Linked DNA regions of Arabidopsis thaliana. The protein of the gene in region 2 interacts with the protein of the main gene of each other region in a pairwise test. Each region holds a gene or a part of one and is shown on either strand. Other genes may lie near its edges. The genes, in order: ABCI14, AT1G76185 and AT5G49130.

Region 1 (3,759 bases), about 22 Mb from region 2:
AAGAGAAAAGTCAAGAGATTGGCCAAGTTTTTCCAGTTTTCAACATTTTTTCAAAACTTCATGCTTATTTTTTTTGGATTATTGGTCAAGTAAGCTAGTTTGGTTTTACCATGTTATATCTGCTTGGTCAAATAAGATGTTATGTCATAAGTTCATAGCATAACATTTTAACTCCGCCCATACTGATTGCAAATTTTCCGATGAACTATATAGTTCAAGATTATTCAATGTGTATCATTATTGGAATAGAAATATAGCAATCTTTCTGTTCTTTCTAAAATGATGTTACTTTCTCAATTTAAGACAACTGATTTACATAAACCCATCTAAACCACAACAAAAGAAGACAGAAAATAATATGTCAAACACAGTTCTTCAAAGAATCTCCAGCACCTTGAAAGAAGAAGGAAGAAAGCACAAAGTCCGCGATGAAGATTCCGACAAGAGACATGACGACAGCAGAAGTTGTAGATTCTCCAACACCTTTAGCACCTCCAGTAGTGGTTACTCCCCAAGAACAACTAATTACCGATATTATAGCTCCAAAGACTTGAGATTTAATCATGGCACTCACAATGTCCCATGGTCTAAGTGCTCGGTGAGCCGAGTCCATGATTATGTTAATGCTGATCCCGTAAACTGCATCAGAGAGCAGAGCGCTTGAAGCCATACCAACAGTGAAACACATGAGTGTCAGAAACGGTAGAGCCAAACACGAGGCGATGACTCTTGGAGTGATTAGATAATCAATTGGGTCAGCTCCTAAAACACGGAGTGTATCAGTTTGCTCTGAGACTTGCATTGTCCCTAGTTCAGCTGCAAATGCACTTCCCATTCGTCCAGCAACAACAATCGATGTGATGACTGGACTTAGCTCTCTAGAGAAGGCTAAAGCCAAGACACCTCCAATGGATCTGTTTAGACCTAGTCTAGTGAATTCTCTAACGAACTGGATTGTGAAAGCCATACCAACAAATGTAGAAGTCAGAAGACAAACTCCTAGAGATTTCGGTCCGGTTCTCTCCAGCTGTTGAAGAGTGTTTCTCCAGTGAATCTTACCCTTTAAAATCCGGAGAACGACTTGTCCTGCTATAATAGGAACTGATAAACCTCTCCATATGTACTTAGAAGGTGACCATTTGCTGAACGGAAGCTCGGCTTCTTGACTGGGTGCGTTGTTTTCAGTAGAGGTTTCTTCTTCCAACATAGACATGGATGGGTGACCATCATTAGCATTCAAATTCACATATAATCTTCTTTGCCGTATCGGACTTGAAATCCCATAAGATTGAGTCTTTCCAATGAAACCAACTTGACAAAGCTTTGGGGGCTTAATACCAATCGAAGCATCAAACCGTGGAAAGACTCTGCAAAATTAATATTCAAGAATCCAAAATAACATATTCTGACAATGAAGCAAATGAGAAAGCTTATAAACTTATGGCAACACAAAATACCTATGAGGGAAACAAAACGATTGATGGATACAACAAGTCTGCATCATTGTGGTTGCCTTCTTCTTTACGACCTCACTGATTTAGTGCCTCTCAATTTGTAGCAATAAGCACGATTTCAACAGCTGAATCTGTAATAAACCCAGAATCAAATTGATTTACAATCAAATAGAATTAGGACACAACAGATTTTGCATAAGAGATCCAAATCGAGACAAAAAGTTTCCGGTGACCTGATCAATTAATCAATCTCTGACTCTGAGGCAGCCAAATTCGAATCCCAGTATAAGATATGTACGGACCAATCTAGGTGAAATCTCTACTATATAGAAGGGGAACAAATAATTAGGTCTATCAATCTTCTTACTGAAACAAAAACTTGAAAACTTACATTTAGAAACGAAACTAAGCTCGGAAGATCGAAGAAGCTTGCTTGAGAGGGTTCATCGAGAGAGAAAGTGGCACAGTGCCAACAACAACAACACACACAACTAACAGTTGCGAAGAAGATGTGTGGGTTTAACTCCCAACAAAACAAACAAAAAAAAAACCAATGGCAAAACATAAATTGGTCCGTGGGCCGTAAAGCCCAATATACTTTTACAAGTAAAGCGTGGGCTCTATGCCATTCACGGCAGGTCCACTTGTACTTTACACATAGACTGATACAGAAAAGTATAAATAAGAAAATAACAATGAGTGTTTTTCTCTATTGATCCAAAATGACAAAATATATGATCTAAACATTTTATGTTATTCTGTATATGTAAAGTGTTAATTATTTAATTGGTTGTATAAATCTACAAAGCTATTATATGAAATGTTTATACCAAGACAATCAATCAAATAAAGGCCTACATTTCATGTCCAGATTTGTACTAATATCCCCTTCATTGCTTACTAATATATAGTAAATTTAACTAAATGCTAACTTAACTATAATATAACCAATATCGAAAGGAGAAAGATGTGAAAAGAGGAATGGTGGTGGTCACGTGACAGTGATACTTGGTAACCTTTACGGAGACAACAACGTTATCTTTTTCTTCAGCCGGTCCGTTCTTTAAAAGCACACTCTCTGTATAATATATGCCTCTCTACGTTTTATATACTCACGTTTACCCTACTCTACACTACAAACCAAAAGCACTACTTCTCTCCTACACAAAACGTGATTCTACCAAATTGAATGCAAGAGTTTAGTAGAGGGTCTCGATTCTTAAAAAAAACAAACTGTCCTAGATGATATTTTGGAAATATAAGTTTAAGGAAACGCTGAAATTGGTTGCTTTAATTCGACTACTATATCTTTCGCATCTTAGAATTATATTAGAAGATATTCAATATTTGTATCTTTTACATTTTATATTTTTATGAGTATTCTATTTTAATTAGAGGTATTAATTTGTTAAGGTTTTAGAGTTTTATGTTACAAATTTACAATATTCAAGTGTTACGTTTTTAGCAAAACTTGTCTTCATTTCCGGTAGATTGATTAAAAAAGCACAACGAATCCCCAAAAAAATGGTAATTCAGGTATTTTAAATTAATCGAGTTCCTTGAACCGCTATGAACACTCAATTCAGTACCTTCCAAAGGAAATGTGTCTCAAGATCTCATGTTCAAGCTTCGCTGGTAGACAATGTACTATTTAGTTCATATCCTCCGACTCGAGAAAACTTTGACCCTTGGTTATTGTAAAAAGTGTTCTATACGTATACTTATATTCGTAATTTCGTAGATAGAGAGAAAGCATAATGTGATGCATGTGCATGGGATGGGCAGATGGGGCCCGCGGGCTTTACAAGGCCCATAAAGCTAAAAGAAGAGGAGAGGACCACGTGGCAGGGAGCTAGCTAGTACTACAAGTGGAGTGGATACTAAGAAGTAAGAAAGTAGGAATGAGTTGAATCTCGTGATCGCACTGTTTCTACTATTGGCAATGCAGTGTTGCTTTCGTCTAGGGTTTCAGAGCTATAGCCCCCTCTTCCTTAATTATTTCTTTTTTTCACTTTACTTTTCTCACCAATCCATGTCCAACTACACTTAAAATTGCATTACCGCAACATCTTATATGTGTCTATATTCGAAATATCTTCTGTGTATAGAATTGTATAAGCTAGCTACGGAATTACATTTTCGAACGACATATATTTGGATGTTCTAGTTTTTGTCATTTTTTTATTAGTGGTCTATCAAGCCGATGATTCTTGAAGTCTCCATTCCCGGTACATTATTGAATGTGAAGTTTAACCTCTCTTAAGATTGATCTCTCGCATAGGATCGAATCCCAAACATTAGCATG
Region 2 (3,759 bases):
GAGGGAAAAGGATGTTCGTGCTTATTTGATTGTTTTTAGTTGCTTTTCAAATTTGTCCACAAATTGGATCACGACCACTCGTGGAGTTATGTACTGACCTTCTACAAATATCTAGAGATTTTCGATCTTTCTAATTATTTCCGTTTCAAAACATGAATTACGACTAAATGCAATTATCTTGGTTACTAACACACTTGTTTTTGTCATTGTCATTAATGAACTTTGACAAAGCTATATCACCATGTAGACAGTATCTCATTATTTGGAAATTAAGTTAATCAAATCAAGCTAAGCTAGTGTATTGACAGACCATAACATTACAAATAATACTAACTATTACCACTTTTTCTTTAACAAGATACTAAAGTAGTTGCAGAGCGCAAAGGTAATGATAGAAACATGTGAGCGTTTCGAGCAAGTTGCTTGCTACTTTTCATTTTATAGTTCTCTCTTCTACTTTCATGAGTGTTCGTTGTTTTTCTTTTTCTCGTCACATGAAAATCCTGCAAATCATTTTTTAAAAACTTTTTACAGCCAACAAATCTAAATCACTTCATCATGATATTAAGTGTAACATAGATAGATGGAAAAACTATCTTTAATCACAAAACGCTCAAGTTAACAATCCGTGATCGTGCCTAGGAAAAATAAAGCAACCTCCCATACTACTTTATACAGGAAAACAACCTTTACAGCACTTTTGTTCTGATTTGTCTAAGCTAAGCCTTGAAATTGCAGTCCCTGGTTTCATATCTCAAGTTCAGGTCGATTCTTCAAAGGACAAAAGCGATGCGTCCCAGAGTCAGTCTGAGCTTAGCTGTCATCTTCATCAATGCATATGGGCACAAAACTCATGCCAGAGAAGAGTTGTGGTTTGGTTGTGTGAGAAGATAAACGGTTCGCAACAGCTCAATGGTTTCGGTCTTTACATAGAGAGAGGAAGAAGCATCCTTCGCTTCTTCTTCCTAGCATGTCTCACTTGCTTTGTGATTTTCATACAGAGGAGTAATAGTAAGGTGACACAAAGCAGGATAAAAGCAAGTTGCAACCGCCTGAAGTACAAGGATACAGCTGAAAACACCACGAGTGCTAACATCACTAGTTCCCATATGACAAAGACTACAACATCAACCCTGAATCAAAAGCAAACGAAACGAATAGCATAAGTACCACTATAGAATGTTCATTGTCAAAATTTAACAATAGAATCCAGATTGCAACAGAGTCGATAAGAATGAAAAGTGTATGTCAAATTGTCAAAGATGGTTCAACGTGGACAAGTCAAAATTATAGTTCCTTGTGTAGGATTCACATAGATATCCAATGTTCAACGACAATCCCTTAAAAGATGAGAAATTTACGGTTCCAATTGAATTAAATATCACAAAGTACAATTTTTCAAATACAACTCTAAGCACGCAGCTCCAAATCACAGCAGATTAAAAAGGAAAGGATAAGCCGGAGATCTCTAACCTGGAGGAAGAGAAATTGGAGGTGGAAGAGAAGAAAGAAACGGAGGCCCAATCATGCTTTGATCTAATCTGATATTCCCTGAGCTGTTCTGCTAGATTCGATCTTGTTATCATCGCTTCTTCTCCACCAAGTCCCGATCACAGTCCCGATTCGACGAAGAGCTCAAGAAGCGTTTGAGAATCACGAGATGTAGGAAAAATCTATCACCAACATATAACTAGAATCTAGAAATCCAAAACAATGGAAAAACAAAATCTGTGAATTGGAAAATTTCGCATCAAAATTTTACAGCGACGAAACGGTGTCCGATTCGTTAGGAATTCGGCGAACGTTGCGTGGACTCTCTCGGTGTCAACAACCGGGTCGGGTTATAGATCCGATCTGGATTCTTAAGCCCATTTTATGGGTATTGGGCTTTTACCGTTACTCTTTTGTTTTGAGTTGTCATCATATATGAAAACTTTGTTCCGATGCCATGAAATTTGGGCTTTTAAGAATCATGAAAACTTTGTTCTAACAGAAATAGAAACATCAAAGAAAAAGAAATAAAACAGCGATGCATCGATTGATTCTCATGTCCCACCAAGTAAAGCGAGTGCTAAATATTGTTGAATATTCCTGATTTGACCACAATAAGGAAAATATCACGCCCATAAAACTCAGACGGGCGGTGAAAAAGAAGAAATCGACAGAAGAACAAACGCATGACGTTCATTACTTAGCACTAATCTGAAACTTTCGAATTATAGTATTTGATCCATATGTATTCTACGTTTTTCAGAAAACTTTGTTCAGATATCTCAAACTTTCGAATTAATTAATATTATTTTAAAATCTATAGTTTAGTTGTGAATTCTAAGTGTCGGCTACAATTTGTCGGTTCGCTATCACCGAAAACATTATCCAAAGAATAAGTTAAGAGCTGAGCTTCGGTGTATATGACAACAAGAACCAAAAAGACGAATAAGTTAGTATTGAAAAAGATAGGTTTGTTTGATATGTGTGTTGATACGTCACGGTTCGTGCTACGTCTTTGTTAAATTTAGAGACCAGAGATTACTGATGTGGCACGTCGGTTCATTTTTTTTATTTTAGGCGAATTTTAAGAGATGATGCATTTACCGATTACCATCTGTCCTTCATTAATATTTTTAGTATATCTTTTTCAATAGGTCGAAAATGACATCCCACACATTAACATATTAATTCATAAGAAATCCAAGTCATCTTATGCTCATTTGTCTACTCATGATTTCATTATCTACATCTAAGTTTATCTTTAAAAACTGCATGAAAACATAACCATTTACGTTGAAAAAATACATACACAAACCCTTTTCCCATAAACGAGATTACGAAAGATTGTTTTATGTGCCCCAAAAATGGTAAACAAAAGATGATGCTAACTTTCTATTCGTTCTAAAATCTAAATCTTTAGTTTTAGTTTGTTTATGTCCACGATCATTTCTTTGATAATACTTTTGGCGGATTCACAAGCGCAAATTACCCGTCTTATTGTAGCATTAGGACTAAAAATGAGATCCGGTAGCATTGCAACAACACCTTCCTAATCGATTGAGCCAATCGGACTTATATTACTTGTTGGATTTGTTTTTTTTTTTGTTTAGAGTATCCAAGATCATGTATTTACAATTTCAAAGATCATGCGTTACTAGATTGGCCTCTTCAACATGTTTAGTGAATAATAAGTTAAAATAACACCTAATCGTTGAGGATTCATAGCGTGATAAGAATTAAATAACCAAGTTCTTATTGGTTTGTTTGTATTTTGTAACGCATAGAATAGAAGAAAGAAAAAATAAGGAACGTTATAAATTTCTAAAAAATCATCATTTCTTCTCGAACAAGCTTGTTCCAGCGTGGCACTAGTCAATAAGTCAAGTGGACCCACGTAACCGACATCACGTCTTTTACGCCAATCAGTACATACTATTGGGTCCTACAAAAGGACAACTTCCCATGTTATATTGACACGTTTTAAGATGTAATTGATTAATCTAAATTTCTCTCTGACTCTTTTCTTTGTCTACATCCGACGTTCCATTTCTGACTATGAGCTCCGTCGTCCGATTTGCGCTAATGCTTGACACGTGTCTTCCAATCTATGGTGCATTAAATTGTTAATCCTTTCAAAATCTGTAATCCATTTTTGGAATTTGCAAGATGGTTCCTATATTTGTGAATATATATATATATATAAGAAAGCCCGAAACTTTAAGAACAATAATTTATAGGGACATCCCATTCTTTAAAATCTCTTTTGCG
Region 3 (3,759 bases), on a different chromosome or scaffold from region 2:
AATCATATCTTGTGGCCAAATATCGACCAATTGGAACGGCTTGCAAATTCTATGAAAACGATCGATATGAAAATCTGATTTACATATATAATAGTATTTTCAATTAAAAATCATTTTCCTCAATTTCTATATATGTGTATTTAGCATATATATATATATATATATATCAAATAAACCAAATAACTTCAATAATAATTTAAATATATGAAAATTAAAAAAATTCACTACTCATATGATATAATTCATCACTATAGAACTTATAAAATAAGATCCTGGTAAAAAAAGCATCAATCTTGTATTTCAGTAGTTTATAATGTTAAAATATATGTAATCAAACTTCTCATATTTTTATTAAAACCACACATGGGCTATCTAGCTAATTCACACACACATATATATATATATTGTTTTCGATTGTCATGATGATCATTTATCCACGTAAGCAGAGACAAGATGTAAAATGTCACTAGTTTATAGGGAGTGGAGTGGGAATAAGTAGGAAAAGGGAAAAAATTAAAGGAAAGGTATACATAATTTTCAAGTCGATTTTGGGTTGATAATTACAGTGAGAGGGAGACAACACATTGCGCTATACCTAATTCTAACTAGTTTCATTTCTAGACTGATGGACCAATCATATCACTTTCTACTAATATCGTTAGTTTGAGCTTCATAAATATCTTTTATCACATTTTATTTTAGAAAGGTTGTTGTTAGTTCTATGCATCTTTTTAAACCACACGAAGTTTCAAAAATATTCATAATAATATTTACGCCTTTATAACTAACATATTCAATTTCTTACATTTTATCATGGACAAAAAAAGAGAGTAGTTCCTCAGGAGAAATACAAATTCGATATCTAAAATCAAGTGTTAGTAATCTATTGGTTAATATTTTTTCAACACAAAGATTATTTCATGGTAAATGCATTTTTTAAGATAACAATTGTATGTTCGAACACTAGTTTAGATTCTCTATATGATTTTCCGATACTCAAAGAAACTATACACTCACTTTCTTAACAAATTTATTAGGCCAAATATATACTGTTTCACCGGAGATGCATTCATATTTACTATGGATTAGATAACAATTGTATGTTCCGAACACTATTTTAGTTTAATTTAGATTGCCTATATGCATGATTTTTTTATAACCAAAGAAAATATACACTCACTTTCTTAACAAAGATTAAATAAAGAGATAATCATAAATGGAACTTTGTACTAACAGAATCTTGAGAAGAAATTTGATTTGAGTTTTGTTCTTTTTTTTTTGTTGTTTTAAATTTCCACATGCCTATACTTTCGTTTGTTTATGTGACGCTTTTGTACGACAAAATCAGGTTTGGATTCGTACTTCTTTTAGGTCAATACATTCTTTTGTTTAATTCTGACCAAAAATAAAGAAATATGTTGTTTAATAAAAATGTAGGATATTGAGAGTCGTACTATAATAAAAAAATAAAAAAATCTCGAACTTTGATAGTATAAGAGATATACGATTAAATCTTGAACTTAATATCCTATATTTTTCTCAAACTATACTTAGTTTGTATTTATACTTGTATATATTAGAGTCCACACAAAGAAAAATGGATAACAAATAATGACATCAATATTTTGGGAACCCCCACCATGCCAAACCCAACTCCATGTTACAAAACAAAACAAATAAAATTTCTTTATAAAATGGCATCTTCTCTTCATATTTTTTAAATCTCTCATCTCAATAAACAAACACTAACAATGGTGGTCGAAGAAGATTCACGTCTCATAAATCTCCAACACAAGTACAACCCGACAATGCCCGAGGTACTAAATTAAATCTAAAACTTCTATTCTTAGTAAACTTCTTCCTCAGATAGAGTCTTTCAAATATCTCCTCTCTTATAATTATTATTTTTTTATTTAAAATATTTAAAAAGGTGGTGGAGGAGCTGAAGAGAATTTGGGACATAAGTTTTCCGGTGGCCGCCATGAGCATATTAAACTACCTAAAGAACATGACATCCGTCGTGTGTATGGGACGACTCGGTAGCCTTGAGCTCGCAGGAGGAGCCTTAGCCATCGGTTTCACCAACATCACCGGTTACTCCGTCCTCTCTGGTTTAGCCACCGGTATGGAACCATTATGTGGTCAAGCCATCGGTTCTAAAAACCCTTCACTCGCTTCCTTAACCCTCAAGCGAACCATCTTCCTCCTTCTCTTAGCTTCTCTTCCCATATCACTCCTTTGGCTAAACCTCGCGCCTCTAATGCTGATGCTCCGCCAACAACATGATATCACTCGTGTCGCATCTCTCTATTGTTCCTTCTCTTTGCCTGATCTTCTCGCTAATAGTTTCCTTCATCCTTTACGTATTTACTTACGTTGTAAAGGCACCACTTGGCCTTTGATGTGGTGCACGTTAGTCTCCGTCCTTCTTCATCTTCCCATTACTGCTTTCTTCACGTTTTACATCTCTCTCGGAGTTCCCGGAGTCGCCGTCTCTTCTTTTCTTACCAACTTCATCTCTTTGTCGCTTCTCCTTTGCTACATCTACTTGGAAAACAACAACAACGACAAAACCACTTCCAAGTCTCTTTGTCTTGATACGCCGTTGATGCTGTATGGTTCGAGAGACTCCGGTGAAAATGATGTGTGGTCAACGCTGGTTAAATTCGCTGTTCCGAGCTGTATAGCGGTTTGCTTGGAGTGGTGGTGGTACGAGTTCATGACGGTCCTCGCTGGATATCTCCCCGAGCCGAAGGTGGCGCTAGCAGCAGCCGCCATCGTGATACAAACAACCTCATTGATGTATACAATCCCAACGGCCCTCTCGGCCGCGGTATCCACGAGGGTAAGCAACGAGTTAGGAGCAGGACGGCCAGAGAAAGCAAAAACAGCGGCGACTGTGGCTGTCGGAGCCGCCGTGGCAGTGTCAGTGTTTGGACTTGTGGGGACCACCGTGGGGAGAGAAGCTTGGGGAAAAGTTTTCACCGCCGACAAAGTTGTCCTCGAGCTGACGGCGGCGGTTATTCCGGTGATTGGAGCTTGTGAGCTTGCCAACTGTCCTCAGACCATTAGCTGTGGAATCTTACGTGGCAGTGCGAGGCCAGGTATAGGGGCCAAGATTAATTTCTACGCCTTCTATGTAGTTGGAGCACCAGTGGCGGTTGTTTTAGCGTTTGTGTGGGGTTTAGGCTTCATGGGCCTATGCTATGGCTTGCTTGGGGCACAGCTAGCTTGTGCAATCTCCATTTTGACCGTTGTTTATAACACAGATTGGAACAAAGAGTCCTTGAAGGCTCATGACTTGGTGGGCAAGAACGTCATTTCACCTAATGTCGATCAAATTATTGTCAAATGCGAAGAAGGCCTACACTAACAGTTTTTCCTTCTCTTTTCTTTTTGTTCTTCATATATACTATCTCCATTTATGTCTCAATGATTTGCTTTTGTTTTAAAACTTATACATTTATGTAAGTGTCTTCATTGGACAAGGACAGAATGTAAAACTTTATGAAACACAAAACTGTTGAAGATTTTGCATTATTGAAGGGAGTGGAATCGTGGATTGGATGATGAAGACTTATATGGATGCGATGGCTAATGACCATGACGTGTAATATATATTGGGTGCATGAGTGTATATAGAGATACCGAACCACATGGAAAAACAAGAGCTAATTGGCCGGAACACATGTGCAAGCATGTGCATGTGTACCCATACAAAATAGGCATCATATTAGTGTCCTTGTGGCTTCTCGCTTC

The links.
Region 1: the proteins of AT1G76185 (region 2) and ABCI14 interact in a protein complementation assay, tested with the Arabidopsis thaliana proteins (one large-scale study listed by BioGRID).
Region 3: the proteins of AT1G76185 (region 2) and AT5G49130 interact in a protein complementation assay, tested with the Arabidopsis thaliana proteins (one large-scale study listed by BioGRID).

Annotation. Positions count from the first base shown.
Region 1 is NC_003070.9:6,844,557-6,848,315, reverse strand, and holds ABCI14 (trigalactosyldiacylglycerol 1), read right to left. Parts: upstream 1,979-3,759; 5' UTR 1,846-1,978; exon of another isoform or gene 1,774-1,845; 5' UTR 1,688-1,773; exon of another isoform or gene 1,586-1,687; 5' UTR 1,505-1,585; coding exon 1,458-1,504; intron 1,368-1,457; coding exon 362-1,367; 3' UTR 194-361; downstream 1-193. UniProt on the Arabidopsis thaliana protein: Required during embryogenesis. Permease involved in lipid transfer from the endoplasmic reticulum (ER) to plastids, and necessary for thylakoids formation.
Region 2 is NC_003070.9:28,588,324-28,592,082, reverse strand, and holds AT1G76185 (NADH-ubiquinone oxidoreductase chain), read right to left. Parts: upstream 1,759-3,759; 5' UTR 1,587-1,758; coding exon 1,474-1,586; intron 1,134-1,473; coding exon 926-1,133; 3' UTR 552-925; downstream 1-551.
Region 3 is NC_003076.8:19,914,153-19,917,911, forward strand, and holds the start of AT5G49130 (MATE efflux family protein), read left to right. Parts: upstream 1-1,719; 5' UTR 1,720-1,751; coding exon 1,752-1,817; exon of another isoform or gene 1,818-1,930; coding exon 1,931-3,373; 3' UTR 3,374-3,759.